3 linked regions of the Mytilus edulis genome follow. The protein of the gene in region 2 binds, or shares a complex with, the protein of the main gene of each other region. Links are inferred from orthologs where the notes say so. Each region holds a gene or a part of one and is shown on either strand. Other genes may lie near its edges. The genes, in order: ubiquitin carboxyl-terminal hydrolase 46-like, WD repeat-containing protein 20-like and WD repeat-containing protein 48-like.

What was found.
Region 1: WD repeat-containing protein 20-like (region 2) and ubiquitin carboxyl-terminal hydrolase 46-like share a complex: the UniProt entries of both Drosophila melanogaster proteins name them as parts of the usp12-46 deubiquitylase complex. The link is inferred for Mytilus edulis from reciprocal best matches to the Drosophila melanogaster genes CG6420 and Usp12-46.
Region 3: WD repeat-containing protein 20-like (region 2) and WD repeat-containing protein 48-like share a complex: the UniProt entries of both Drosophila melanogaster proteins name them as parts of the usp12-46 deubiquitylase complex. The link is inferred for Mytilus edulis from reciprocal best matches to the Drosophila melanogaster genes CG6420 and CG9062.

What each region holds. Positions count from the first base shown.
Region 1 is NC_092351.1:8,876,182-8,887,023, reverse strand, and holds the start of ubiquitin carboxyl-terminal hydrolase 46-like, read left to right. Parts: upstream 1-5,863; 5' UTR 5,864-5,942; coding exon 5,943-5,951; intron 5,952-8,005; coding exon 8,006-8,086; intron 8,087-9,326; coding exon 9,327-9,546; intron 9,547-10,842. Other genes in the region: large ribosomal subunit protein eL21-like, read right to left, coding at 122-250. UniProt on the Drosophila melanogaster protein: Catalytic component of the Usp12-46 deubiquitylase complex.
Region 2 is NC_092346.1:2,399,118-2,409,423, forward strand, and holds the start of WD repeat-containing protein 20-like, read right to left. Parts: upstream 5,088-10,306; 5' UTR 5,051-5,087; coding exon 4,802-5,050; intron 3,566-4,801; coding exon 3,383-3,565; intron 1-3,382. Other genes in the region: uncharacterized protein, read right to left, coding at 5,476-7,251. UniProt on the Drosophila melanogaster protein: Regulatory component of the Usp12-46 deubiquitylase complex.
Region 3 is NC_092355.1:81,254,202-81,265,068, reverse strand, and holds the start of WD repeat-containing protein 48-like, read left to right. Parts: upstream 1-6,508; 5' UTR 6,509-6,517; coding exon 6,518-6,577; intron 6,578-9,141; coding exon 9,142-9,282; intron 9,283-9,658; exon of another isoform or gene 9,659-9,831; intron 9,832-10,111; exon of another isoform or gene 10,112-10,209; intron 10,210-10,713; exon of another isoform or gene 10,714-10,867. UniProt on the Drosophila melanogaster protein: Regulatory component of the Usp12-46 deubiquitylase complex. activates deubiquitination by increasing the catalytic turnover without increasing the affinity of deubiquitinating enzymes for the substrate.

The sequences.
Region 1 (10,842 bases), on a different chromosome or scaffold from region 2:
GGACAGAAATAAAATTCGGCTGGGCCACTTTATTAGATATACTTTCAACACTCAACTAGTATAATCAGTGCCTATTGTTACTTGCTTCTTTAATGGTATCCTTTTTTTAATAATAACAAACCTTAATATCGACGATGTCTCCTCGTTTGTATATTTTCATGTACGTAGACAGTGGAATAACACCATGCTTCTTGAATGGTCTTGAGAACATATAACGTGTACCACGCCTATAACCCTTTGTGTTGGTCATGATGAAGTCTACAAATACCAGATAATAAATTATTATATATACATGTATGGATTGCCATGGATCATATAATCATGTACTGAAAAACTTTAATCATGGTTAGAGAGAATCATGTGACTGCTGTGTAAAAGTTAACATGGACTGCTAAAATCCAAGTTAATCTTATATTAGTAAAATACAGATATCAAAGCATTTTCTCTGCAGTAATCGAACCAATTTTTAAAGCTTGTAGGAAACATTTTTTTTTTTAAATCATCTGCACATTTTTAATTCATTATATAAATTTTGTAAATAATTTTAACACCGCCATCAAAGTTAAGGGTAAGTGATTATGGCTCAAAAAGTAAATTAATGAACAGTCACAATCTAAATTAAAAGCAGAAACAAAAAAGATCAGGCTCAAAAGTCATCATTTTTTCTACAAATTTAAAATTTCTAGTGTTATTTTTTTTCAATTTTTAACTTCCAGCTAATGTCTATTGAGAATCTTCAACAATTAATTCAAAAGTGATCAAAATCACTGATAGTAAAATTTGGAAAAAATTGTGTGCCAAAATTCAAATCATAGTCTCAGTGTCAGTCACACCAAGTTTATATTGTAGTGAATAAAAAAAATATGATATGATATTTGTACTTGAACAAGAAATCTTTATTCACTTGAAGAAGTAAATAAAATATAAATGCATAAGTAATTTTAATGTTTGAAAAATCTCACCCTTAATTTTCTCAAAAATTTACTTGTTTAAGAAAAAGAAAAAAAAATCGCAATCCCACAAAAAGTTTTGAGATGTATAAACATGCCTTGAACAATTTTTCTGTGGTTAGCTCAAATTTTTTTATTTCGAGTTTTATGTTTCATCTCATTTTTGTCAAAAATAAACTGATTGAGCAAAGATCACAATAAGGTTTGGTGTTCGCATTTCGGCCTGATGGATTTTTCAAATATAATAGTTATTGTGCAATCAAATTAATTTTTAGACAGTGGAGTACTAAATTTTGAGCAATCAAAGATGGTTTATAAGAATATGCAATTATACCCCCGAAAAAAATGAGACGAGACATAATTTTGAGTGATTTCTTGATGGATACAAATGTATATATGTAAGGCCTAAAAAAAAAAATATGTGTTTCCGGTAACATCATTTTGAAAAATAGGGTCGGTAGGTCGGAATTCTTTTTTTTTTTTTTTTTTTTTTTTTTTTGACATTGTAAATGAAATCCGGAAAATTATCATGGTTTTTCCAAGTGCGGATCCGTAATTAGTTTCAAAACCCGGAAGTGTGCCATTTGCAATGTTTTTGAAGCACCTGCTGTGCAAATTTCTTGGATTTTAACCTTTTTGGAATACCTTTTGACATTAATAAAATGTTTTACTGGCTTTCTATGCAAGTAGAAGCAAGAGAGAAAAAATATTATGTCATCTATCAGAAGCCTGTGTCAAAAACGGGGTCGGATGATACAATTTTTTTTTTTTTTTTTGAAGATCCAAGAAAAAAGTTAGGGTCAGGGCTAAAAAACAGGGTCGGTCGGGTTACCGGAAACATCGATCTTTTTTTTCTCGGCCTAAACAGTTTCAGAAAAGCTATGGATTGAAATTCTACTTCTGGTAAATATTTTGGGAAATATGAGACGTCTTTTTCACCCTTTTTGCAATTTTTAACACAAATATGCAGATTGTTGCCATAGACCAAATTTTTTTTTATATTTTACCATTTTGTCTACTTCATATAAAATTTATAGAAGATTCTGATTACACAGGTACCTGTGAACATATGACACAATCAGTAAGCTTTGAAAGGGGGAAGGCAATTTCTAAGAGGGTAAATTTTGATATTTTTTCTTAATTTGTTGTTACTAGAATATAACGCAAGCCCCTAAGAGTAAGAACTACAGTTCCACAGCTATTGGGCTAACCGATTTAATGAACACAACAGCTCAATACGAAAACTTTAAAAATTCTATATTAAAAGGATTTAATCAAATTCCAAATGGAAATATTGCAATGACATTTTTGAAATTAGTACAATGTACTTCAAACATAATGTGATAATTGCATGTGGTCAAAGCCAAAGCGAAGAAAAAAATCGTTCCTATCCTGTAGAACATAGGATTTTTTTGTGATATACATTTAGCATTTGTATAAATGTGATAAATATTTGTCGAAGTGAATATTTATTGACAAAACAAAACGGCTTAAAAGGGTAAAAATGGAAAAAATATTCCGACAAACACGTGCAACAACCTTTCTGATTTCTGACCGGAAGAAAAAGGAAGAGACATGCGCAAATCAACTAAATTTCTGTCCTCAATATTTCGGCCCAAGATATCATTTCGGCCTTCATTTTTCCATGATACAATTTTTAATGCAATATCATTTTAAAATTTAAATGCTTTCTTCTATATTCTTCTGAAATAATACACTTATAAACAGTAAATATATAAAGGCTTTCATGTACAACATTTCACTTAAACTTATATCATTAATCTTGCAGCAGAGGGTTACTGCTCACAAGGAAGCTATTAAACCAAGAGTTCCAAATGGTGAAGTTGAAATCATCCCTTCGTAAATTTTACGGACGCCATCACGAGTTGGTTGACCGTTATGGAATAACCGTTTCACAAATGATATCGGATATGTTCCTTACGTCGTAACTACAATCCCCTTCCCTTTCATGTATTACGTACATGGGGGGATATATACTTGCCTCCCCATGCCGCTAAAGTTATATTTGCTTAAGAGCAATAAAAACACATCTATTTCCATAGCACGTTTATTTCAAAGAGACAGATAACATCACATGAAAAATATGCATCAGCATCATACAAAGGGACACAACTCTCACCACTAAACTACAAAACACATACGACCATACAATACATATACATAACACATGAATGTGACCTACCGAATTAGACTATTTACCGGATTTGTAATCACATAAGCAACACATGTGGAGCAGAATCTGCTTACCCTTCCGGAGCACCTGAGATCACCCCTAGTTTTTGGTGGGGTTCGTGTTGTTTATTCTTTAGTTTTCTATGTTGTGTCATGTGTACTATTGTTTTTCTGTTTGTCTTTTTCATTTTTAGCCATGGCGTTGTCAGTTTGTTTTAGATTTATGAGTTTGACTGTCCCTTTGGTATCTTTCGTCCCTCTCTTATATGATGCCTATCAAATTTCGGTGTCACTGTGTGCCGGTGTCCTATGGGTGTCTTAGCTATAGCCATTCTTCCCCCATGCCAAGTTTTCCGGGGGGAAAATCTGGATCGATCCGATATTTCCCCCCGGAAAAATTGGCATAATCCAACTTTCCCTCTCAGCGTTATAGGGGGGAAACGAGGATCAGGCCCCCCCCCCCACCCCCCTTTTCCCCCTTTGCGACATAAGAAGCTAGTTTTCCCCTTGTAATATAACGTCGGTGACGTTAGTTAGAAATATTTATCCTAATAGAACATTTTTTTTTATTAGTTTAGCGGTACCAAAGCTTTACGGAGTCGTGTTAGTATACATTTGATATATATTTATATATACATGTACATACATTTTATCTTCATACACACGAAGTACATGCTGATGTGATGATCACATCTATTCTTTTTCGTGAACCCTTGGTATCCATGACTAAATGAACACAATTACTTATACCACGTCTTGTCGATTTGAAGATTGTTCCCTGGACAGACGTCTATGATGTCTCCGACATACAATGGTGAAATGACTTTACATGATATATCATGCTTAAGACCACGTTGTAAAAGAACCCATCAAAGGCACGGATAGAGAAAAATACTCGTCGCCCTAAAGCTTTTATTAAGGAGAAGTCCGATACGGATGACACTTCATCAAACCTAAAGAAGATATGTAAACCCTCTCCAACAGGCAGGGGAGACGTGGAATTAAGTACAGGAACTACCCCCATTAGTGTGAGCTGTACAAGATCTACAAAATATCCCGTCTGCCCTAAATGTGCTAAGGGTTGACCACGATCCAGCACTAATGATACAAATATCCATCTGTGTTACACTGACGTCGGTAGTAAGTAATTAAAGGCCACCGTACGGCCTTCAACAATGAAAAAAACATATCATTGAGTCCGCTATTAAATGCCCCCGACAATAAAAATTTGAAAACAATTCAAACAAAGCTAACAGCCTTATTCATTGATACCAAAATAATTTACGAAAAAAAAACTTGACAGACATGAACCATGAACAACAACCACTGTACTGCATGTTCCTGGCTTTGGAATGGGCATTGGCAAATAAACACTGATGTCATGAATGTGGTGGCCATAAACTCAACTCTCCCCAATAAACCCAACCTAGGACAGCACAACGAAAAAAAAAGAAAAAAATGTAAAATATCAGTTACAAATGGCTTCCCTACAATGTATATAAATGGCCATGGCTGCTCTTTAATTCTTGTATTTGTTCTAAAAAATGTGTTTTGTTCACTGCAGACGTGTCATGTAAGAGGACAATAGATGATGCTTGGTATGATAAATGAGTGGTATATTGTAAGTTTAGAAAGTCTTTCGAGATGAGTGCCAATTTTGTTAAGTACGTTTTGTTGTGAAAAGTAAAGTCACAAAAATACTAAACTCCGTCTTCACATTTTATATTGAATCCATTTAGGTTGAAGACCATATTTTGAGTGTGTGTTTTTTACCTATGACAATTGCCTGGAATTTTTCTGGGTTTGCCTGCATTTTGTTGAAAGAGAACCATGAATTCAACCATGATATTAGGGAGTTACCGTCTTCCTCTAAGGGTTTAATTGTTGATTCCAAACGGTTGTACTTTATTTTGAGAAATTGTTATCATCAGCATAGTTATATCAATCCCACTTGGTTTGACAAAAGAAAGATGTCATTACGAATACATTAAATAATATAGGGCCTACTGTATAGATCCCTGAGGAACACCTTTATAAATATCTTGCATTTGACTGATACTCTTACCTATTTTACAAACTGTTTTCTTGTAGTCAGATAATTTTTGAGCAATTCAAGTGCTGAGATGGACTAAGCCCTTATTTTCCCAGTTTACAAAGAAGTAGATGATGAGGACGACAGTTAAAAGCATTACTGAGATTCATTAATGTTGATGCTAAGTATTCATTATTGTCCAGTGCCTTTTTCCAATCTTTCAAAATGTTAACTTTAATGTTGTCATAGCGTTATCGAAAAGCGGCAAGGAAATGGTGGAAATTGATCTTGAGACAAGTTGATAATGATAAATTAACAAGCTGTGTGATTGGTTTACTCACTACAGGTTTACTTAAACAACTTGTAAATTTTTTGGTGATAAACCATCTTTACCAGTTGATTTTTTACATTTATTTGACCAATTCCTTTCGAAACAAATTGTTCATTTTAATATAAAATCAGTGAAACAATAAGTTTATTTAATGCTGACTCATTTGAGTATAGCTTCTATACTTGAGCACATGCCATTCACATATATGCTGTTGTCAGCGATGTTTTAGCAACATTTGCAAAAAGTAAAAAAATAAATATCCGATGGACCAACTAGGACCGAAATGTAAAAGGCCGAAACTAGTATACGAAATTCCGAAATATATGCTAATTTCCGATCCGACTATTGGTTTCAATTTAGAATAATTTAGATTTCAAAATGGACGTCAGATTTATTGACTTGAGCCTGCAAGTTTAAATTATACGATTTTTCCCGAATGAAGATGGTAAATTGAAATTATAAATTCTTAAACACACTTATATTAATGTTTTTTTGACGTAGAAGGATTGTGTTCAGGGAAAATGAAAACGAGAAAGCCGTACAAGACGTCACAACTGATGTCGTGATTAACTGCAAGCCTTAAGGTTCATCATAACAAACGGACAAATATGGCTGTATTTACATGCCAAAAATTACTCTGAGTGCAGACTCACCTGTGAAGTTGGAAAAGTTTTAATGCCTAGCATCCACTAGATATAAAAAAGTTAAATCCATTTTGTGTTTCAGAAAGATAAACTCTCTTTTGGATTTTGATGGGCATTTTTTTTCCTTCATGCAAAAGGTGTGAAAATTTACTAAGTTGTGGAACAACTATGAGATGCTCCCTCAGGTAAAAAACCGGTTTGTGTTGTTTTCATTGTCCTTAATTGACATAGACACCAGGTATCTTCAGAACTATAGGTGAGTTAAAGAGTTTATCTGAGTCAGTGAGTGGACAGTATCAAAGTAATGCAGGTGTTTGTTTATTTTTGCACCTTCTGAAGAAAGGAAAAAAAATGCCCAGCAAAAACCAAGAAAGATTTTATCTTTCTTAAACACAAAATGCATTTAACTTTTATATATCTAGTGGATGCTAGGCATTAAAACTTTTCAAACCGCACAGGTAAGTCTGTACACAGAGTAGTTTTTGAGGTAAAAATACGGCCATATTTGTCCATTTGTTATGATGAACCTTAATTATGTCTGTCGTTCTGAATAAAACAGGTTAAGGAGAATCACTCAGATCCTCATAAATATTTGTTTAATAACCCAAAATAGGTATCGACTTTCAATGATTAAATATCTGAGGATTTCAAGACATTTGCTCTAATGCTCTCATACTATAGTCATAGTTGAAATTAAAATAATATGAGGCAGGCATTACCTGTAAATGGGGACAAAGTCTGTATTAATTTTTTTCTAATTCAAACATGTTGATAAAAGAAACGGAAATACCGTAACATTTCCAATATTGGTTCTGTTGTTAGGAATTTAGTTGTGAAGTTGTTTAAGTTATGACGTCATATTCAATGTAAACAGAGAAACGCTGTTATCAGGTAACGTTTTATTCATATCAAACAATTATTAAAAATGGGTGTTGAATTCCGTCCTATATTTGTTGATATGTTGATGAATATACATTTTATTCAAAGTCTCATGCAAACAAGACCGGAACAGGAAGTAGATCTGAAGAAAAAAAGTAAACGATTTTGAGTTCATTAGTAAAATGAAAAATTCAGAAAATTTTCCGGATTTTTTTTTTTATTATTATTGATTTTTCTACCGTAATGGAGACTTCGTCCCTATATAAAAATTCTATCAGAAAATTACGCCATAATTTGACAAATGGGCATTGACGCTTTCTGGTCTCTTCTTCCAAATACTGCCCACATTCAACATAATGAATGTTCTGGTCTGTTGGGCATGATTAAAAACGGGTTAAAACAGGAAATTAAGGGACAGATCCCTTTTGCCTTTTTGTTTCTTGAAGGAAATGAATATAAAGTTTTACATTTTGAAAAAGCTTTTTACAACCCCAAAATACTCTAAATCCAGCAAGCACATTAATTTTCTTCTACTTTTTTCATCTGTTAACATGATCAAGCTATCTGTCATGTCTGTTTGCATATGAGACACTACATTTTTAGCACACATGTATGTCACTTTTTTTATTTTTGGACACTTTAGATTTATTTAAAATAGCAAATTATCAGTCATTCAGTGTTCTGTTCAAAGGGTTTTACCAATATTCAATAAGCAATCCCAATTTTATTTTAATTAATTGATCAGGACAAGTAAACATCATTGAAAATGTTGCATACATTACAAACTCAAAAACAAGCCACACCCTCCTTTTAGACATCTGCTCATGCAAATAAAATGTACATGTACAATGTTCAATACGTAAAGGATTTTAAAAAATGAAGATGGATGGCATGGGATACATGGTAGTTTCAGTAGTAACAATGTATAGAATGTTAGGAAACACAAAAGTATGTTTCCATTATTTTCTGTTTGCAGGGGAATAATCCTTCACAGCTGGAGAAAGAAATAGGTACAGAACAGTTACCCGCCAATGAACATTACTTTGGTCTGGTCAATGTAAGTGATAAATATAAAAATAGGTACAGAACAGTTACCAGCCAAGGAACATTACTTTGGTCTGGTCAATGTAAGTGATAAATATAGAAATAGGTACAGAACAGTTACCAGCTAATGAACATTACTTTGGTCTGGTCAATGTAAGTGATAAATATAGAAATAGGTACAGAACAGTTACCAGCCAATGAACATTACTTTGGTCTGGTCAATGTAAGTGAAAAATATAGAAATAGGTACAGAACCAGTTGCCCACCAATGAACATTACTTTGGTCTGGTCAATGTAAGTGGTAACAAATTCAGAAATTATCAAGTAATATTATAGGTTAATGCTGATATGAAACAATTTACAAGTAACATACGTGTTATTTCATGAATTTATTATAACTATCACTTTAGCATGTTTAGAAATATTTTTAATATTAATAATTTTAGTAATAAGTGAGAAATAGATATCACTTGGACAAGAAATATCTATCCATGCAATTTTAATGTGCGTATTGTTATTGTTTTACTTTTCTACATTGGCTAGAGGTATAGGGGGAGGGTTGAGATCTCATAAACATGTTTAACCCCGCCGCAATTTTGCGCCTGTCCCAAGTCAGGAGCCTCTGGCCTTTGTTAGTCTTGTATGATTTTAAATTTTAGTTTCTTGTGTATAATTCGGAGTTTAGTATGACGTCCATTATCACTGTACTATTATGCATATTTTAGGGGCCAGCTGAAGGACACCTACGGGTGCGGGAATTCTCGCTACATTGAAGACCCATTGGTTGCCTTCGGCTGTTGTTTGCTCTATGGTCGGGTGGTTGTCGCTTTGACATATTCACCATTTCCTTTCTCAATTTTAAGAAATAGTCAAATAGGCCACAACCATAAGAGAAAAGCATTTATGGTCTTCAAACTCATGCATATCCATAATAAACCACTCTACCTTGTTAACACATTGTAGACAAAATGCATATTGTTTTATGACCTCTTTTAATACATGTATGTCAAAATACTTAAAAATAAAATCAGCATAATACTCACTTACATGTATGCATAAATTATCTTGGTATTTTTTTTCTTAAATTTATTAAACATGTTTGCACGACCAACAAGAAAAGAGAAGCTTTTGCAGTTGTCAACTATGTAATCAAGAGGTTGGAGGTTGAGATGTTATTTTAAAAAAGCAAATTAAATAACTTTTTCAAGGGAATGTACACTTCCTGACATTTCTTGCTTATTTTTTTTTTGCAGTTTGGTAACACATGTTATGGTAACTCTGTGCTGCAAGCTTTGTATTTTTGTCGACCATTCCGAGAGAAAGTTTTACAATTTAAACAACACCAGAAGAATAATAAGAAGGAGACATTATTGACTTGCCTGGCTGATCTTTTCTATAGTATAGCTACACAGAAGAAAAAAGTGGGAACCATTGCCCCAAAGAAATTTATCACAAGACTGAGAAAAGAGTATGGTATGTGATCACACATTATATTCATACTCAGGGCTTATAAAGGATGTGGGAACTACTATTAAAAAAATGTCTTTAAAATTTTGTGAACCTCTATCTTATTCTATTCTGCAAATTTATTTACCACAACTTTTAGGTTAGCTACATGTACTTTAAGTTGGAGGAATTGAACAAAATCAAATGAAAATAGAGATAAACAAAATTTATAAATTAAAAATCACAAAATCACAAAAAAAGAAGAAATGTAGGGGCGATTCTAATTTAAGTTGAAAAAGAACAGTGAAAGAAAAAGAAGAAATTATGACCAACATTTAACTAAACACTTCATAGAATATTCAGTATTATACAAACTTTAAAAAGGAACTAAACAGATCAGCTGCATGCAAGGGCTCTATAGCCAGTCGAGGTCGTTAAACACGTCCATCGTCGACGTAGCTGCAAGAAGTTTCAATGCATATACAATCTTGTTTCCTTTTTCAAAGAATTCTATTTATTGAGTTTATCCTTAATTATTAGTATGTGAGTTATAATTGCCATTAAGCAAGCATCAATCAATCAATCATTTGTTTTTGTCATCTCTTTAGTTTGATAACAACAAATAAACCAAAACACATATTTTCATTTGTCAAAAAGCTGAATACCAGATATACATGATCATGATGATATATCAGAAGTACATGTATGTACCTAACAATTGAAGATCAACTCATTCTATCCAGTATTTTCAAGTATTTCTAGAATGAGTTTAACCATTATCTTTTAGCAACATATCCACAATTTAAATGTATGATGATCTTTGTTATACATGTATGGACTTCTATTGACCCATTTATGCGTTATTTATGCAAAATAAGTCATCACCCATATTCTAAAACAGAATATATAATGAGTTACAGTAATTATATTGTAAGCATGTTTAGTCAGTACTCAGGGCTTTCCCTTGAAATTGAAGTAGTAGGCTAAATTACAATTATACGTTCGGCGAAGCCAGACGCCTTCCAAGCTGTAAGCTTGGTGTTTTATGGCCGGGGGTCTGGGGCCGCTTAAGGCCCCCATAAGCTCTGGCATAAATAGAGCAAAATCCTGCATTCTCACAATCTCCTGGCATCTTTCAAATGACCATTTTTATGTATGAAATAAAAGGAAGAAAAGAAAAAATCTCAAAGAATTTTCAAATTTATTTTATGTAATGGTTTGTTTTTTATTTTCTTTACATTATGATTAAAATTCATTTGCTTTTTAAGGAGTTTCATTCATATAATAATCCGATTTGTTAGAAAAAAAAAAAATCTTGATCGA
Region 2 (10,306 bases):
AGAATACAGGCCTAGGTATGTTATAATTATGTCAATGAATTTGATAACATGGACATGATGCCATTGATGGAAGTAAAACTCCTTTTACATTATGTCCCCTTTTACATTACACCTGTCCCCTTTTCCCTAATGTGACCTACAAAACTAGCTTTATTACCGGGTTTGTTTTAACATGAGCAACATGACAGGTGTCACTTGTTTAGTTTAAACATATTTTATTGTTCAAAATGACAAATGGATTAGACACAGGTTTTACAACTTAGTAATGTCTTCTCCAAGGTGTCACTTGTGGAGTAGGATCTCTTTACCCGTCAGGAGCACCCTAGATCGCCTCCAGTTTTTGTTGGTGTTCCTTTTGATCAGTCTTTAGTTTTCTATGTTATGTTATATTTTGTGTACTATTGTTAGCTGTTGGTCTTTTTCTTTTTTGGCATTGTCAGTTAAATGTATGAGTTTGAATGTCCCTGTGGTATAGTTTGCCTCTCTTATACAGGAAGGTTTAGTTTTACCTAATAAAAGCTACATAAACCTGGAGTAAATTAAGGTGGTACCCAACACTTTCACTAAAATTAATTTGGCTCGTTTAATTTTCATAAAATTTTTTAAAATTATTTACTTTGACCCTTTAACAAAAATTCAAAAAATTCAAAAATTTTGAACCAATCGTCTTGTCAGAAAAATTACACTGGTTATATAGTAGTTTGACAAACACCAATTTTGATCATTGAGAAGCTTAATATTCCTTTTCCAACACAACGTAATTAAACCACGTTTAGCTAACTTTACAGAGTTATCTCCCTGTAGTGTTAGGTACCACCTTAAGTAAGGAATCTAATGATCCTGATGATATAAGAGACAAAAATTCCTTGTTTTGAACATGAACTGCACTCTTCACTTTGACTGTCTCAGCAAGTGGCAGTAATTCCTAAACTAGGTCTCAGCTTGATACATTATAAATATATTCAACAATGGCCAATCTTCAACATTTATATTGAAAGACTAGAATATAGTTCATGATTTAGATATATTGTTTTTTTATATTGTATTGCTGATCTTTTTTCTTCTTTTTCAGTTTCTCTCCGTCTTTAAGAGTTTTTGCCTAAATTACATAACTAGGTCAGGGGTCGAATTTAAGCTTTTTTGTGTACTGGCCAGCTGGACCAGTGGACTGAAAACTCTACTGGTCCGGCTCCAAATCTACTGGTCCTGCAAAAATGACATTAATTTGACAAACACTAATATAAATAACAGATGTTTAATTTTATTTTTAGTGCTTTCCTTTACACAAGTTAAACAAAGGAATAGTCTTTATTCTGATTTTGATAAAGGCTTTGGTAATCTCAATAATTTTCTTTATCAAAATCAGGATCAAGGACAGAAAAAATATCCAACATTGTCTTCCACGTCATCGCAATCCTCACGACGACCATAGGGTGCCTGACTATAGGTCGTCTGGAGCGCTGTCCAGAAATATTCGATCTACTATATAATGCAACCATTCACGATCTTTTTCCCATGATTTTTGGTAATTGCGTTTCCTTTTGTCACTTTCGTATACTTTATTTCGATCTTCCTTTTGATTTTCAGTTATCTTAACTTTTTGTCCGGCGGTTTAACTCCTTCCAAAAATTTCCACATTTTATATTGTTGTGAAGGACGCTGTAATACCCCCATCCCCCATCCCCATCAAAGGGTACATGTACATTTGTACATCAGGGCAAATAACTAAGAAGTGGACTGACAATGCAATTATCAGCACTTTTGACCTACATGTATTATATGTACAATGTATATATGCAGATCTTGTCTAGCTAAGTACTATATATAACATGGTTCTTACAATTAACATATATTTAAACAAACGAATCCGAAGGATGAGTTTATTTAAATATGTTAATGAGTAAGACACAGGGTATATAAAATTTGTAATATAAATAAAATGATTGACAGCTTCAAGACCTTGAACTAATATTGTAAATTGATCACGTTACAGTTTTATCCAATGAAATGGAAGCTCGTGCAAGTCACTTTTGCGCCTCGGTATGATCTTCTGTGTGTTTCATGTAATAGAATCCCCAAATTTGAAGAAAGTCAAGAAAATGTCGGATTTTCCCGATTTTTTAGTTTTGCGCCCCGTGTATGATCGTAGAGGCAGGTAATTTCATAAGGTCATCAGAAAGTAAATAAAAATGTCGGATTCCAGGGACAAGGATTAAATTATTATTCTAATGGCGGTAAGATTATTGTTTTTTGTTGAGTTTCAAGGTATCATAAAATTAATCATAACTTACAGGTTGTTCATCTAATTGAAAAATGCATATTTATACATGTATAGTTTTCGTACAAACTGCTTTTCTTCCGTTATTTCATTATTTTGATTTTTAGATTATTTATTAAAACACAATTTTAATGATAAAACACTGTATTTAAACAGTGTCGGATCAAGGGACCGCAGATAGTGTACACCCCCCTAATTGATCGCAAATAAAAAATTATGTTTTTCACAGATTTTTGTTCCCGATATTTATTTCTTTTCTACATGTACATGTATAGTTACCCCCTATTTGAATCGTAATTTCATTGAATTTTAGCAAAGGAAACGATAGTATTACATTTTTTTTTTTTCACAAGTGAAAGAAGAAACATTTAATATTTTTTCCAAAATTAAGGGAACTCGTAACAATTCTATATAGTTTGAAAAAAGTTTCTTGAGATGGGGTACACATGATTTATTGCTTTTTGTTATAAAATGAAAACAAATGAAGATCTTGACCTTTTAGTACATTTTTCAGTTTCCTGAAAATTTCAAAGGCGGACACCTTTCAAAAAAAGGTGGAGCTTCAGCCATGGAAATCATGAAAATGAATATGTTGTACCATAGCTAAGCTCCGCCTTCTTTCCTTTGGATTCTAGTTGAGTTGCATATTTAATTAGCAAAGTATGGTACATCAATTTGCATATAATATACCATGGTTTTCCCTCACCACACTTTTTAAGCAAATTATTTCATTAAAACATCAAAGTCTTATTATTTTATTTATAAAAACAAAAAATTAGGTAAAAATCATAATCAACAGATTATTGTACAGTAACTCCTACCCATTTTAGATTTAAAGATTAAAGGCAGAAATGAAATCGTATTAAATTGTCTAAAAGAATTGTATGATATATAAATATATACATATATATATATATATGCTTTATAAGTTTTTTAATACAAATTGCATTGTGTAGGAATTTTGAATGAACTGCAAAAGGTGGATAGAAACACTTATAATCAAGTCGTAGTAAAAGCAAGGAGGTACAAAACATGGGGCATAATATGTATCCCTCCCTTCCCCCCTCTTTCAGAGTAGACATTTAAATACTTAATAATACAAACTTCTTCATTGTAAAGTTTTCCCAGCTCTTTCTTTATAGGATCAATAAGCTGTAGCTGTCCTGCAGTAAAGCCTACTAACAATCTAACACTCTCACTGGATATAATCATTCTATTAAAATCATGACATGTAGGAAATGTCCCTTTGTATAATCTCTTGTCTATAGGTTTTGTCAAATCTGCAGCCTGAAGAATAAATACAAAATCTTATATGTTTGTTCATATTTTTCACGATTCGACTGCATAGCAATACACAATATTTTTTTCCAATTACAACTGGATGAGTTTGACCTAAATTTGTCCTTAAAAGATTTTTTAGGTGTATGTTGATCATGTTGATGTTTTATGAGTTTTAGGTGTATATATACATTGTATGTTGAACTCTTGATCATGCTGATACAATACAATACAGAGTTTTTTATTGTCAATTATGACAATTATGTTAATGAGTATTTTTGGGGTAACTGTTTTATTGATGACTGACATTTTCCTACCCCTCATTTTTTACTTAATAATATATGATATTCCTTAACAAACATGGCTACACTTTGATCTTTAATTGTTTACTTTTTACAAATTGTGACTTGGATGGAGAATTGTCTGATTGGCACTCTTACCACATCTTCTTACTTCTACATAGTAGAATTTTGGGAATGTCTTTCAGGTGTAAAAAATACAATGTAGAAGCATAAGACTGTTTTCTTTGTTTATCATGTTCTTCGCCTCATGTACCCAATACCAAGGTTGTTATTTTCCTTGTTTACAATGAACATGATGCATGTTAAATGTTCAGTGTAAAAAAGTTTCATGCAATAAAAGTAATATTTTTTATCAAAAATAATTGTATGTTCTACGACTTTTTATAGAAAATAATAATAATAATTTGACTCCTAAAACATTGAATATCGGCAGCTATTAATTAAAACCATATTCACATCCATTAACAAATTAAATGCAAATTCTGCAAAAAAATAAATATGAACATTTATATGAACCCTGCATTCTTCTATACCAATACAGGTTTACTGTGTGTTGTCAAATGTTTCCTGCTGGCATTCAAAGCACTACAGGAAAACATTTATTTCCTTCTATGGCAGACAAACCTGAAATTGGTCTATTCATCATAGACATAATAAAACATGACAATGCATCCTCTGCAATGATATTTGTTTGAATGCAAATTTGGGTTAATAAATTAATCATTAGTATTTCAAAAGAAAAAAATGTCAGTAAAAGCCATAATATTCAAACCTCAACGGACTTCAATTTTAAATACCGGTTTCATCATAAATTTTATGTGTATTTATTCCAAGTCTGGTGCAAAATTTACAATACCTGGAGTGGTGTTTTGTGATTGTGAAGTACATATATATTTTATGCAAGTTGTTTTTATATTCTGTAACATAACTTTGCAAAATATACCTTTTTTACGCCCTTATAAACATAAAAATACAATTCCCTGCCAACGTTGAAACATATCCTATCTGGCGACGGAGAACCATCGTTTACATTAATGAATGACACTCTGGATGGAGTGTTAGTTTGACCATTATAGGGAACTCGGGTAGGTTTTGAATATTCTGACAATGGCATCAATTTGTACGTCCCTTCCCGGGTTACAAAGTGAGTTTTAATGTCATCTTTTCCTCCGCCCTCACTTTGGGACGCCATATTGAAATTGAGTTTTCGACAGGTGCCCGGATAAGATAAGTACGCATGCGTCATGTAAACTTCCGTGAAATAGGTAAACAATAACACGTGTGTTTGTTTACATGTTCACTTGATAACTAAACAAGCTTATTTTCAGATGACCGGTCAAATTCATTCACAAATTATCAACTTTTCTTACCATATCTTTAGCAGATAATATGAGGCAGGCATTACCTGTAAATGGGGAAGAAGTCTGTATGAATTATTTTTTTGTAACTTTTAAAAATATTTAGTCTTTAGTCTTTAGTAAGTGTCCCAAATGACACTGTAAACACTTGTGTACGTTTCCTCTTTTGTAGTTTCTTCACATATGTAATGTTCACTCATGTACTTAATTGAAATTGTGGCTGCTGCTTAAAAAATTTTGACTTAATTTTGATATAGATTTATAGTGTTTTTTGCTGTATAGTGTTTTTGAATCTACCAGACTCCGTTAAATAATTTTCCAGATGGCACAATATCTCATTTCGATTGTCTCTATTAATGTCTTCTTCATCGATTCCTAATAAGGTGTCTAAATCCATGTGTATATTTCCTGTAATAAAGTAAATAGATGTTCTCATTCTCTCTCTAGCCTCCTCATAGTTAGAACAATGTAAAAGATAGTGTTCTACAGTTTCTGGCTCTCCACAGGAACAGTTTTTGTCTGATGATGGTATAATTTTGGATTTATAATCATTTAGATCACAATAACCTGTTCTCAAACTAGTAGTAATTGAAAACGACCATTTGGATGGTAAATCTTTTGGTATTTTCTGACAGACATTTTGATGATAATTGTAATAATTTCTGCCACGTTGACTTGATTCCCATTGGTTCTGCCATTTTCTTAAAACACTTTCTCTTGCTGCACGTTTTATATCCTGCCTGGTTACTTCTGATGGTTCTTCTATTTTTTCAGCTTCTTTAGCTCCTTTTTTGGCCAGTGAATCAGCAATGTCATTTCCTTGGATATCAGCATGACCAGGTGTCCATTCAAAATTTAATGGAATTCCATTCATCATTAATACTTTCATGTTTTTCTTAATTTCTCTTATGACTTTGATGTAATTCTCTGATTTCCAGTTTAAAGTTAAAATTCCGATTGAGGTCTGACTATCTGAAAAAAGTGTAATTGAGTCTGTGTTTTGTCTGTTTTCTGATATTAAAAAGTGGTCAACAACAAGTTTAATGGCGATCAGTTCTCCGAGTAGTATTGATCCTTTCTTGGATACAGCTTTACTAATTTCAATTTGTGGTTGATTATTTGATGGAAAGATGACAGCACCTGCTCCTACAGGGCCAGGACTACCAAGACAGGACCCATCAGTAAATGCTATACATGAATTTGCAGGAAGATGACTTAATTTTTCCATTATAATGAGTTTTCCAACATTTTTTTGGTCTGTTGATCTTGATTTGGAATTTCCAAGGTTTTTCCAATAATCTGGAGGAGATTTATATCTTCGTATCCCATTAAACTCAAATTCTGCTTCTATACCATTTACATCAACACCTGTACATACCTTCATGTCTTCTGCCTGAAGAATCATTTTTCCCACTGGAGATACATATTTTTCAGGGATGTCAATTGTTTTCCAGTCATCCAGGATTTGTTTTATTGGAATGGAGATATCATACGAATTAATTTTTGCAAGTGTACGAGTTGCAATTTCTTCTCTACGCAGATGTATTGGTAGGATTCCAGAAACTACTTCCAAAGTCTCTACACTTGATGTTGGAGTAACATTAAGGCATATAGCTAATCCCTTTCGTTGAATTTTGTTCAGTTTGTCTGTTATATTGGTTTCACAGGTCTGCCAAACACTACTTGCATATTCTAAGGTGGAAAGGACAATACTTTGGTAAATTTGAAGTAGAATTTTTGTAGAAATTTTTGCAACTCCTTTGATCATTCTAAGTAGGCTAATTGCTTTATGTGCCTTTTGTTCCACATTTTCGATGTGTTTGAGAAATGATAGTTTTTCATCTAACGTGACTCCTAATATTTTTGGATTACAGTTATATTTTAACAATTTACCTTCTAGTTGTAAATTCATTTTCTTTATTGGACCATTCCTTGAAAAAATACAATATTCTGTTTTCTCAATACTCAAATTAATTCTCCATTTTTTGGTCCAATCCTGGATTATGTTAAGATCCTTTTGTACCTGTTTCTCCATGTCATTCAAGTTCTTTCCATTTATCCATACAGTACCATCATCAGCAAATTTACACTTTTTACATGATAGGTTAGCAAAAATGTCTTTGATAAAGATATTAAAAAGAAGTGGAGCTATAACTGATCCTTGTGGGAGACCTATTTTGGTTTCAAACCAGCTTCCTTTATGGTTGTTAATCACACACCTTGCTTGTCTTTCCTTTAAAAAATTGTTAATCCAATTCCAGATGTTACCTTTAACACCGTTATCATAAAGTTTTGTGAGAAGTCCTTCCCTCCAAACACTGTTAAAAATAAGAAACGGAAATATCGTAACGTTTCCGATTTTGGTTCTGTTGTTAGGGATTTTAGTTGTGACGTTATTCAAATTATGACGTCATATGCAATATAGACAAAGAAACGCTATCATCAGGTAACGTTTTTTCATATCAAATAATTATTAAAAATGAAATTGGTATTGCACGTTCCTTCCTATTTTATACTAGACTGATAAATATATATTTTACTCAAAGTTTCATACAAACGAGACCGGGAAAAGGAAGTACATTGTACATTTCTGCGCAGGTCCGGGATTTCAAAACATGACATAAAAAAATATTGAACGATTTTGAGTTCATTAGTACAATGAAAAATTCGGGAAATTTTCCCGATTTTTTTTTTTATTATTGAATTTTCTACTGTTATTGGGGACTTCGTCCCCATATAAATCCTTCGTATGAAATCTTGACTGAATGTTATATTATGAGCTCAGCTAAATATTTTAAAATCTCTTTAAGAACTTTTTAGTATATATAATTTATGTATCAATGCTTATTAAGGGGGCTCCTGGGTATAAATAATTTTTTTTTTCTAATATAGGATTTCGCTATATTTTTTCATGAATGAACTTTATCATATACTTAAAAGAAAAATGAAATAAAAAAATGGGGTCACCGTTCATTTAAGCTAAAATCTGCCTCTGGAAGAAGCATACATTTTTGTTAATGTCCTTTTTTTCTGTTGAACTAATAGGAGAAAAAGAGGAAATATCGAAATAAAAAAATAACCTAATATAAGAAATCGCTTAAATTTTACAATTATTTAGTTTATGTACAGCTTATTTGAAAACAATAATAAAAAATATAGGTCACCGATGAGTTAAAAAAGATATTTCAAATTTAAGGCCAAAAAATGGCATTTTTGCAGCAAAGGGAGATAATTTGGAGCTTTTTCAATTTTTAAAGTCATCTGGGGCCAAACCAAATCATTTTTTTGGGTTGTTTTTTGTACCATATCATAAAGTAACAACTAATAGTGTAATAAATAAAATTTGTAATGAAAAAATAGAGGTTTAATTTTTTGCTAAAATTTTTGTACCCACGAGCCACCTTAAAGGGACATTAGCTGTCAAATCCATAACCACCGATTTGACTCACAAATTTTAATATTTGATTTATAGCATACTAAGACGTATGTATGCAAATAAAGGACAAAATAAAAAAATTATCAAAGCATGGATAGAGAGATACCTATATTTTACTAGACTGATAAATATATTTCTGCGCAGGTCCGGGATTTCAAAACATGACATAAAAAAAATTGAACGATTTTGAGTTCATTAGTACAATGAAAAATTCGGGAAATTTTCCCGAATTTTTTTTTATTGAATTTTCTAACGTATATTAATGATTGTTTTTTTATTGAGAACATCTGTATAACTTGTATTTCTTTTAATATGCAACCTAATTTTTTGTTTGTGTTCTTTTTTTTTAATTGTTTATGAACATTAATAATGTGTTAATGAATACCACTGTCACGCTAATATAATTATAATCAAATTAACTATTGTCAGTTTATTGTCCTAATTTTGTATGCCATAACCATTTTAACTCGAATAATTCCGCCCCTCTATCCACTACTTTTCTCGAGGATGGAGTGATCGAAGTGATCATAATATAACGACTGGATTATTCGGGTTATAACCATTTAATGTAAATAACATATATTTAAACTAATTATGAAACCATACTAGTCAATAAATTTAACCAATTACTAGTACCATGGAAGTATTATATTGTCAATATAATACTTCCATGCTAGTACAGATTAGTAGTTCCTTTCACTTTCCTTTGCTAAGAGAAATTTAAACAACTGATCAGATATTACTTTTATCCATTTTATAATTTTACTGAATGCTTAGTGTACATACAAGTTCCTGTTTTTAACTAATTTTTAGTTTTATCCTATTCTAACTCTGTTACTATTATTTTAAATTTTAACCAGTAGATAGAATTTTAAATAACGCTATTTTAGAAATAAACAAAATTTTTAAATGCGGTGACCCTGCAGATAGGGTGGACTTCCTGAAGAAGAAGAAGTTTGTGCTAATAAATATTGTCTATATCTATAATACTAAAATTTGTCAGCCGTCATCACGTAAAAACGACGAATCAAAGAATTCAACTTTATATATAACTAATACAGTACAAAGATGTAGATTAAAAATTACACCACTCCAGGCCCTTTTGTTTTCCACGTAATTAATATTGCCAATAATTAAGAAGTTCCGGTTCGAGTCCGATACCGATACCAATAGTATATTCACCTGTTACCGATTACCTTATCTGTACGTTCCGCATCTGACAGGCGCACCACCAAACGGTGTATTCAGGATTAATATGCTATCAGGGCCGTAACTAGGGTTCTAATTCAGAGGAGGCAGGGGTTCGGGGGCCGCCGACTGAAAAAAACAAATTTTTTTCTCTCAGTAAAATGCCTTAAAATCACCCTTTTTCCTTTGATTTCCTTACTTTAAGGATTGCTTGAACCTGGAAGCAAATTTTATGCAAAAACAAGCTGAGATTGCTGAGAGTGTTGTTCTGGGTGAGCCAAAGCTCCGTCTTTAAGGCCGTACTTTGACCTATAATTATTAACATTAAATACATTGTGACCGCGGATTTTTTTCTAAATAGAATCAGTGGCTAAAAATGACCCGTTTTCCTTCGATTTCCTTACTTTAAGAAACATCAGTATTGCTGGATCCTGGAAGCAATTTTTATGCAAACAATTATTATCTG
Region 3 (10,867 bases), on a different chromosome or scaffold from region 2:
ATTTTTCAAATGGGTCTACTTGTCAGATGCGTGGAAATGACTGTTAGTGTATACTACAAACATTCGTACTAGCAGACACATACATGTTACTAGGTTCCAAAGTCGAAAGGTTCGGTTCGGTATTATAGAAAATTTATTGTTCATCAAAAGCTTCGACGCCTTTAAGATCAGCACATGGTTTACAAAATTTTTATAGAAGTCAAATTTTCTTGTTGATGTATTACCTTTTAAAAGAAATTATTAAAAATGATCTCCAAAAAATATATCCTTACACAAATGCCAGAGCTCTGGTCAAATGCTAAAAACACAACAATGCTAAACTTTCAGTCAATGGAAAACAAAATTATAATATATTACGTTACATTGACGTTAAGTGCAAAAAAAACGTTCAATTTTGACGTGGTAACATTTCGGGGAGACACGGACAACTTGATAGAAATTAATGAAAAATTTAGTGTTTCCTTCGCATTAAAGGCATAAACGAATCTTTAATAAAATCACATTTCAGGAGTATCATTTGTTTCATAGTTCATTTGTCTATCACAAATTTAAAATACCCTTAATTATCATGGTACTGAAAAAATCTTGAACAATGGCTCTATGGTAACATTTAAGGGAGACACGGAAAATACTGAAAAAAATAAAATGAGAGAAGTTATGTTAGAAATAAAAGTGATGTCGTAAAATTCAATAAAATCACATTTTCATGTAGAGGTGGCGAACCTTTTCTATGATTTATGTGAAAATATTATAATATCGAAGTGGTTGCTTTCATTTTTGTATACTTGAATTTTCAAATCTTACAGCTCTATGGAATTTCGGAAATGACCGCTAAATTGCGAAGTGACATAATATTTATCGTGACCGTTTCACATCATGAATATGATCATATTATATCCCACCTGTACAAATTTCATCGAATTCCATTCAGTAGTTAGTATTTTTTCTTCCGTTTATATTTGAATGGTTAGTAATTGTTGTTACGTCTTACACGGCAAAAAATGGAATTATGGACATGGAATTTTTGCTTAATTATTTTTTTTAAATCAGGTTTTATCTAATTTCGATTCAAATGATGAAACAAGACAAGTAATTTTTTATAAAACGTAGAATTGATTAGTTTTTGTCCTACTTATGCATCAAGAAATGGTCAAATGAAAAATTGACCGAATACCGTGCGTAACGTCATACTAGTTCAGTGATAATGGACGTCATACTAAACTCCGAATTATACACAAGAAACTAAAATTAAAAAAGCATACAAGACTAATAAAGGCAAGAGGATCCTGACTTGGGACAGGCGCATACCAATATTATTGGCTAAATAGTGGCTGTAAGTAAATAGGTCTGCCTGAATTGTACAAGACCGATTCTCAGAGCTGAATTTTTCACACACGAACTGAAAAAAATATAATATCGCTCTAGACATACCAATACATATTCAGTTAAAGTTGTAATGATTGAGAATATAAATTACAGTTCAAACTGCACAGTCCAAGTACATATAACGTAATCGACATAACTTTACGACAAAAGAGATGATTTCGTAAATTTTACGGACGCCATCACGAGTTGGTTGATTGGTAAGGAATACCTGGTATATAAGATGATATCGGATATGTTCCTGATGCCGTAACTGTAATGCCGTCCCCTTTTCACGAATGTGACCTACCGAATTAGACCTTTTACCTTTAATTTTTACATATTTACCTATTGTGTCTTTTTGATTTGTTCACGCATCATTATCAATATTATAAAATTAGATGGATCTGTCGTACAAGTAAGAGGTTTAGCGCTAAAAAACCAGGTTTTAGTCACCATTTTCTACATTTGAAAATGCCAGTACCAAGTCAGGAATATGACACTTCTTGTCCATTCGTTTTTGATGTGTTTTGTCATTTGATTTTGCCATGTGATTATGGACTTTCCGATTGGATTCTCCTCTGAGTTCAGTATTTTTGTGATTTTACTTTTTAAATAACAGTTTAGCTCCACAGTTGCAGTACGTTGAATGACAATCTGGTTTCATGGACGTATAGCTATTGTGACCAGACTGCACCAACAATTAATTAGAAATAATTTGTCTTAGTACCTTTTTAGTGTGTGTTAGCGCAGCCAAAAAATAACAATAATTTTCAATATTGTCAAAATATGTATGCACGAACGACACTCCGCATAACTAAAAGTAACAACCCTTACAAAACAAAACATGCTTACACATGCATATATTTCCATGGCGAATACATTAGAAGATACATTATTACCTTTACTTTTTGACAATGTGCGCTCCTTCAATTGTGGAAATCAACGGATCTAGACACGTTTTTAGTTTTTTTGTAACTTTCGAGGTAAAGTGTTGAATTTAAAAAAAAATGATAGTTTTAATGCTCGTTCAAGATTATAAAAATATTTACACGCTTATATATTTTATTCCAATTAAAGGTTCCATAAGTTCTGAAGACTTATTATAATGATGTTTTAAAATTGAGAGACATGTGTTATTTTGACAATCATATATAGATATGGATATATAATCAACTTTATTAGCTCACCTGGCCCAAATGGCCAAGTGAGCTTTTCTCATCACTTGGCGTCTGTCGTCCATCGTCGGCCGTCGTCGTAAACTTTTTACATTTTTGAACTTCTTCTAGAGAACCTCTAAATTAAATGAAACCAAACATGGCAAGTACTGACCAAGTGTTGTTACTTTGTAGCCGATCCATCATCCAAGATGGCCGCCAGCGCCCTACGGGAAATACATACAAATGTCTTCTTTTAAGAGAACCACAGAATGGAATGGAACCAAACATAGCATGAATTTTCCTAATGAGATGCTGACCAAGTGTTGTTACTTTTTAGCCGATCCATCATCCAAGATGGCCGTCAGCGGGGGACTTAGTTTAGCATGGGACCCTATGGGAAATACATACAAATGTCTTCTTTTAGAGAACCACTGAATGGATTGTAACCAAACATAGCATGAATGTTCCTTATGAGGTGCTGACCAAGTGTTGTTACGAAAGCCGATCCATCATCAAAGATGGCCGCCAGCGGGGGACTTAGTTAACATTGTACCCTATGGGAAATACATACAAATGTCTTCTTTTAGAGAACCACTGAATGGATTGAAACCAAACATAGCATGAATGTTCCTTATGAGGTACTGACCAAGTGTTGTTACGTTGTAGCCGATCCATCGTCCAAGATGGCCGCCAGGGGGGGGGGGCTTGGTTAAACTTCGGACCCTATAGGAAATACATACAAATGTCTTCTTTTAGAGAACCACTGAATGGATTGAAACCAAACATAGCATGAATGTTCCTTATGAGGTACTGACCAAGTGTTGTTACGTTGTGACACGGCGACATATAAAAAATCGAGGAGCAAGTGATGAGAACTTATTTTAATAAGATTGAATGAAACCAAAAATAGCATGAATGTTCCTTATAAGATGTTGACCAAGTGTGTTTACGTTGTAGCCGATCCATCATCCAAGATGGCTGCCAGCGGGGGACTCTGTTTAACACACTACCCTATGGGAAATACATACAAATGTCTTCTTTTAGCATGTTTAGAAAAGCACTGAATGGAATGAAATAAAACATGGCATGAATGTTCCTTATGAGGTGCTGACCAAGTGTTGTTACTTTGTAGCAGATCCATTATCCAAGATGACCGCCAGACGGGGACTTAGTTGAACATGGTACCCTATAGGAAATACACACAAATGTCTTTTTTAAGAGAACTTCTGAAAGAAATGTAACCAAAAAAAACAATATTAAACCAAATTTTGCCTAAAACATCATTATAAGTATCTGTTACAAATTTTTACATTTTTTAATATTTCAAAATCCCAAATAGAATCAGGTGAGCGACACAAGCTTTAGGGAGCCTCTAGTTCTATATTCTTATTGGCCTCAGCCAGACCAGAGTCATACGCATGTGTAAAAGAGCAATATTGAAATATTGTTGTTCGGTGTGAGCCAACGCTCCGTGTTGGAGGCAGTACCTTGACCTATAATTGTTTACTTTTATAAATTGTTATTTGGATGGATAGTTGTCTCATTGGCACTCATACCTCATCTTGCTATATCTATATATAAACAGATAAACATAAATTTTCAAACATGTAGTAGGAATAATTTTCTAATCGATCAAATTATCAGAAGACCATTGTCGATATATTGTGGAAAGACAGTATTTTCATTTAATCTTTGAGATATTAATATAGCATTAATATAAAATAGTTTTACTATTAACAATAACCACAATAAACCTATTTCTCGTATCAAACATAAACTAAAAGAACTAGCCAAGGAATTTGTTTTTGTCCCGATCGATAAAGCTGCTTATAATATTATTATTGTTACATTGAGGTTCTGAAAAAAGAAATCACCAATTCACCAACATTCCAACTGACTCCATTTTCAGAAAACGACATCTGTAATAAACATAAACTTTTAGCTACCACTTTGATGGCGTGCACAAAGCTGAGTCCAAAAACGTAACGTCTTTAAATTACTAAAATCATTTACCGCTATTTTCCCCCAGAAAACGTAAGCGTAACAAAAACACTGGACAATTAGTTTATCACATAACTTTAAACATAAACGTTCAACATATTTCTTTTTCTTTCGAATAACAAAGTACAGCAAATGCACATTCTGAAAATGTTAAAAAAAAAATATGCTTAGAACAGTGTAATGGAGACAATTAGCGACTATGTCATGGACCCTAATAACAAAAATAGCGTTAAAACGTCATTTCTTTAATCTGTAACATAATGGCTGGACAGTTTGGAAAATTCAGGTGTTCAGTCTGGACTATCGAATCCTTCTTATATTGCAATTTTTTGAAACCTCTTTTTATGCACATTTAGAATATCAAGTCATTTCGCAATATGAAAATAGCAAGTACATATTTATTTTAACGATTCTTCCATGTTCTAATATTAAGCTTTAAAAATGTCTACTTCTTACATATAACGAACTTCATTTCCAACACATCCTCCATGGCCAATTTGGATTTTTTTTAGGTAAAGTTCGTTTGACTTTATAGTCTGAATCCTAAAATATCTACTGTACGAAATGCAAGAAAGTACGTTAAATTTGTACAAATTTCAGGTCAAAAACTCTATTTTATGCTTATTTAATGTTACAAGTTACATATGTTTTTGCCGTTTCCATGTTTGTTTCATACTTCATAGATTTTATTTTGAGAACTTTTTTTAATAATTTGGATGTTAATGGCTAGTGTTCATCCTTTCATCATAAAAAAAACTTCCTGTTTGAAATGTATGATTTACATGGTTGTATAAAGCTACTTTTAAAAGCGCATTTTACAATTGCCGTCAACTCTGTGCACGCCGTCATTACAAGCAGAACCAAAAACAACGAAAGTCCCAACTATGTATTGGATTCCGAAGCTACACAAAACACCTTACAAATATAGATTTATTTCGTCTTCAGGCAAGCCATTGTTCCACTACTAAATTGTCTATTCTTCTTACCAGTACACTTGGTACAATCAAAAACCTGATAATAAATTGTTCAAATAAGGCCTTCGAAAATAGTGGAATTAATTACTTTTGGAGTGTCAAGAACTCGTTGGAAGTACTTGATAAATTGCATGCTTATATTGGTGATTTTATATCTGTTAAAGTTTTGATTTTTCTACCCTGTATACCACATAATTTGCCTCACATTCTCATTAAGAAAAAATTCACCCACCTAATTAAATGGGCATTTAAAAAGTCTGAATGTGAATATATATGTTCAACTTAATTACTCTTTTAGGTAATTTTTTGGTAGCAATAAAAAAACAAAACTTTGTCAATTGGACATGCTTTGATACTATATATGCCCTTGAATTTTTACTAGATAACATTTTTGTTCGCTTTTGAGATTCCGTATATCGTCTGCAGGTTATCGGAATTCCAATTGGGACTAACTGTGCACCACTTATAGCGGATCTGTTTTTGTAATGCTATGAGTTACAATTTATTACAAAAATTTAGCAAAGACTGACTATCGAAACAACATATGATAAAATCTGATAATTAGAATGTGATATGCCGTACAGCTTTTCCCCATGGTTTGTACTCTCCCCTGAGGTACTCTCAGTTGAAATAACTTCCACAAAATAGCGTCAGCGTTAAAATATTTATCCAAAGACAGTGTATTTTATAGATATTTGTAAATGTGTTTATTTCTTATCTTTTTAATAGGAAGTTGGTATAAACTCAACAATTGAGATAATTTAATCGGTTAATGTAAAAAAAATGTATAAAAAATTGAACGCAGCAGAGCTAGATGAAAAAAAAATGAGATATTTCGTGCTAAGAATTAAAATATGTTTTATTGAATAGAGAAGAAGTGGGTTTGGGTCGCTAGAGTTACTATCTCCAGCTTTATCATTAGAAAACCTGGAGACAAAATTTTGTGAATCCGGATTAGGCTAGTCCTTCCGATACCGAATTACGGTTAGAATTATTCCCGAATTTAGTGACGTATTTCACATGTTATCAATGGCTACACACCACAGAAATTCGGCAGGACAAGGCAAAAAGAAAGTTCAGGTGACTGACAAGCTATCACAAATGTTTGGTGCAAAATATATTTGTTTCTGAAGAACTTAATACATATAGAAAGACGTGGATACTTTTGGACAATGTACTTTTTTATTTAAGAAGTCAGAAGAGTGAGATAAAAAAAAAAATTATACCAAACACATACTATGAATATGATACATGTGTAGCTGCGGAACCGTAGCTCTTAGTCTGGTCCTTATGATATTGTATGACTATTTGCCTACCGTATCTCTTAGGTCCTCGTGATATTTTTTTACTATCTTTAGACCAGTAAAAAAATATAAGGACCTAACTGATAAGAGCTACCAAACAAGGCACTTTTTTCTATCCAAGTCCATGGAAAAATCCACTAGGCCATACTTAAAAATATATTGGTTTGCCCAAACCCTACCCAAAGGTTGAGACAGTGGGTAGGTAGGTAGGTAGGCATTTTCTTTTTTTTTTCAAAAAAAGAAATTGAAGTATCAGATGTTTATTAGTCTTCATGCCTATTTGATTAAAAAAAAATTCTTCAAATCAGGACAATAAAAGAATTTGAGTAGGCAGTTTTTATTTTCTGGGTAGGTAGCGTTAGGGCAAACAAACCTATTATTTATTATGGCCCTATCAATGTATATTTATGTAAATGAAAAGTGTTATTTACATGCAAGTTTTTCAGATGTTTTATTTCACTTGATTTCCAGTTTTGACGTTTTAAAATTTCTTGTTTTTGTGTTAAAGTAGATGTGCGTTCTCCGTTTTTGCCCTTGTGTTTTTGTGTTGGTACTTTTTATTTCTCGTGCTTGTCCTGTATTTGATTCAAAGGTCAACCATACTAATTCTGCCCAGATATTGTATGTGTATGGTACATATATGCAATAAAGTCCATGAGATTACTATAAATTATATATTTTTCAAAACCAGGTGCAACTTATGGACACAAAAAAGTTGACTGCAGGGTTATCATTTCTGTTAAATTATGACTGCATAATCAAGTATTTTTTTCATTAATGTTTATGATTTTATTTCTCATGCTTGATGTTTTCCTGATTTTCTTAGGCCTGTTTATGTGACGTATTATGGTTGTCCGTCGTCAACATGTTGGAAATTTTCAATGAATCTTTGGTGAATTTTGTATATCTATTGACGTGAGCTCCTTTTCTTTTTTATAAATTTTAGATGTTACATGTCCAAGTTTGGGTTTTTTATTCATTACAAAAAGTGGGATTTCCCAGTTTTCAGACAATAACTCAAAAACAATTTTACCAAGAATCTTTGGCACATTGTTTACATATATATTGACATGAGCTCCCTCTGGATTTTTATAAATTCTAGAGTTTATGTTTTTAAGTTATCAGGTTCTATTCATTACAAAAAGGGGGATTTTTCCAACAATATTTTTTAATTTTAAAAATGCTTTGAGTAGTTTTCCTGAAATTTTAGTGAATTGTTTATACATCTATTGACTTAAGTGCCCTTTCAATCTTTGAATTTTTATAAATTTCAGATTTTAAGCTTACTAGTAATGGGATTAAATTAATAAAATAAAAATTCCTAAGGGTTCCACGGAACCCAGTGTCTCGCCTACTTTTGCTGTTAATCGCAGACTCAACAAAAATGAGGAAAAACATCAATAAAAATTTCCCTCTCAATACTGTCTTTTGATTGAAAGAAGCTTCCAAGTAGGTAAAAAAATCCAGGATACATGTAGTTTATGAATCTAATAAATGTTTTATAAACTTTAACTGCAGACTGTATGTAATGTTAACTGGAAGAAAAACTAAGTCCAGTTATAAGTCAAATATGGAAAAGTGGAAATTTATTTTTACAAAATTTTCTTCTTGATACTATCTTATGATCATAAACATGCTTCTGTCCAAGTTTGGTACAAATCAAGGATAGTTTATGAAAGTTATTTAAATTTTAAAAACTTTAACTACAGAGTGAATGTAATGTTTTCTCGCAGAAAAACTAAGTCCATTTATAAGTAAAATATGGAAATGTGGAAATTTATTTTTACAAAATTTTCTTCTTGATATTATCTTATGATCATAAACAAGCTTCTGTCCAAGTTTGGTACAAATCAAGGATAGTTTATGAAAGTTATTAAAATTTTAAAAACTTTAACCACAGCGTGAATGTAATGTTTCCTCGCAGAAAAACTAAGTCCATTTATAAGTAAAATACGGAAAAAATGGAATTTTATTTTTACAAAATTTACTTCTGGATACTTTCTTATGATCACAAACAAGCTTCTGTCCAAGTTTGGTAGAAATTTAGTATAGTTTAAGAAAGTTATTAAAATTTCAAAAACTTTAACCACAGAGTGAATATTTGTGGACGCCGCCGACGCCGATGGAATGTAGGATCGCTTAGTCCCGCTTTTTCGACTAAAGTCGTAGGCTCGACAAAAAGGTTTTTTTTTTAGTTTTCTCTCACAGCTTGGAAATAATGAGGACCATTTCTGGTGTATCACTGTTATAACCAGATCAAAGATCCTGGATCAATGGAACACATAATTGCAGAATATTAATGACCCACTTATTAACAGTTTCATCTTTTTTATTTGTTAGGTTTCTTTTGTTATCCGAGATGAAGTTGAACGACATCACAGATCTGGGATTAACTCCCTTCAGTTTGACCCACTTATTAACAGATTATACTCGGCTGGGAGAGACTCCATCATCAGAATATTTAACACAAAGACCAACAAGGTAAGAACACATTATCAAACAAGAACAAGGTAAGAACACATTAACAAACAAGGAAGAAAGGAACACATGGAGGTTGTTAGAAACACGAAAAACATGTGCGATAACAAAGACACAGATATAAAATAACACTAAGAAGGCAAACACAGATAAAAGGAACCAAAAAAAAAGGAATCAGGTGAAAATATTGCAGATGAAAATAAAAATAAGAGGACACCTGGACACACAACACAAGAAACTGAAATTGAAACAGGAATAAATTGACGAATGTAGGAACAGATGTAATGAGGACAATACACTTTATAAAAGTAGGAACAGTTTAACACACAGACAAATAAGGGAAATACTAAAAACCTACAAAAGTACAATGTAAACATATACAAAAAAGAGCAGAGATGACAAATCAGAAAGAAACAAAATAAACTCACAAGTTAGGAACAGACTGACAAATACAGTAAGAATATGCAAATGAACACATTAAGAACACAACTGAAAAGAAGTTAAATACATTAAAAATGCATAAAAATAAAATCCAAGAACTAGTTGAAGTAGGTAGGAACACACAATAAAATCCAAGAACTAGTTGAAGTAGGTAGGAACACACAATAAAATCCAAGAACTAGTTGAAGTAGGTAGGAACACACAATAAAATCCAAGAACTAGTTGAAGTAGATAGGAACACACAATAAAATCCAAGAACTAGTTGAAGTAGGTAGGAACACACAATAAAATCCAAGAACTAGTTGAAGTAGATAGGAACACACAATAAAATCCAAGAACTAGTTGAAGTAGGTAGGAACACACAATAAAATCCAAGAACTAGTTGAAGTAGGTAGGAACACACAATAAAAGACCACAGACAAATTAAGAACAAAAAAATAAGAAGACGCACATTATTACAGAAAATGTAGGAACACACAGCCAAACAAGGTAGGAACACACTAACATATGAGGTTGGAACATACTGACATACAAGGTAGGGACATGAGAACAAACCAAGTAGGAACACACAAGCATACAAGGTAGGGCATGGGAACAAACAAGGTAGGAACACACTAACATATGAGGTTGGAACATACTGACATACAAGGTAGGGACATGAGAACAAACCAAGTAGGAACACACAAGCATACAAGGTAGGGCATGGGAACAAACAAGGTAGGAACACACTAACATATGAGGTTGGAACACACTGACATACAAGATAGGGACATGAGAACAAACCAAGTAGGAACACACAAGCATACAAGGTAGGTACATGAGAACAAACCAAGTAGGAACACACAAGCATACAAGGTAGGTACATGAGAACAAACCAAGTAGGAACACACAAGCATACAAGGTAGGTACATGAGAACAAACCAAGTAGGAACACACAAGCATACAAGGTAGGGACATGAGAACAAACCAAGTAGGAACACACAGCCAAACAAGGTAGGGCATGGGAACAAACAAGGTAGGAACACACTAACATATGAGGTAGGAACTTACTGACATACAAGGTAGGGACATGAGAACAAACCAAGTAGGAACACACAAGCATACAAGGTAGGTATATGAGAACAAACCAAGTAGGAACACACAAGCA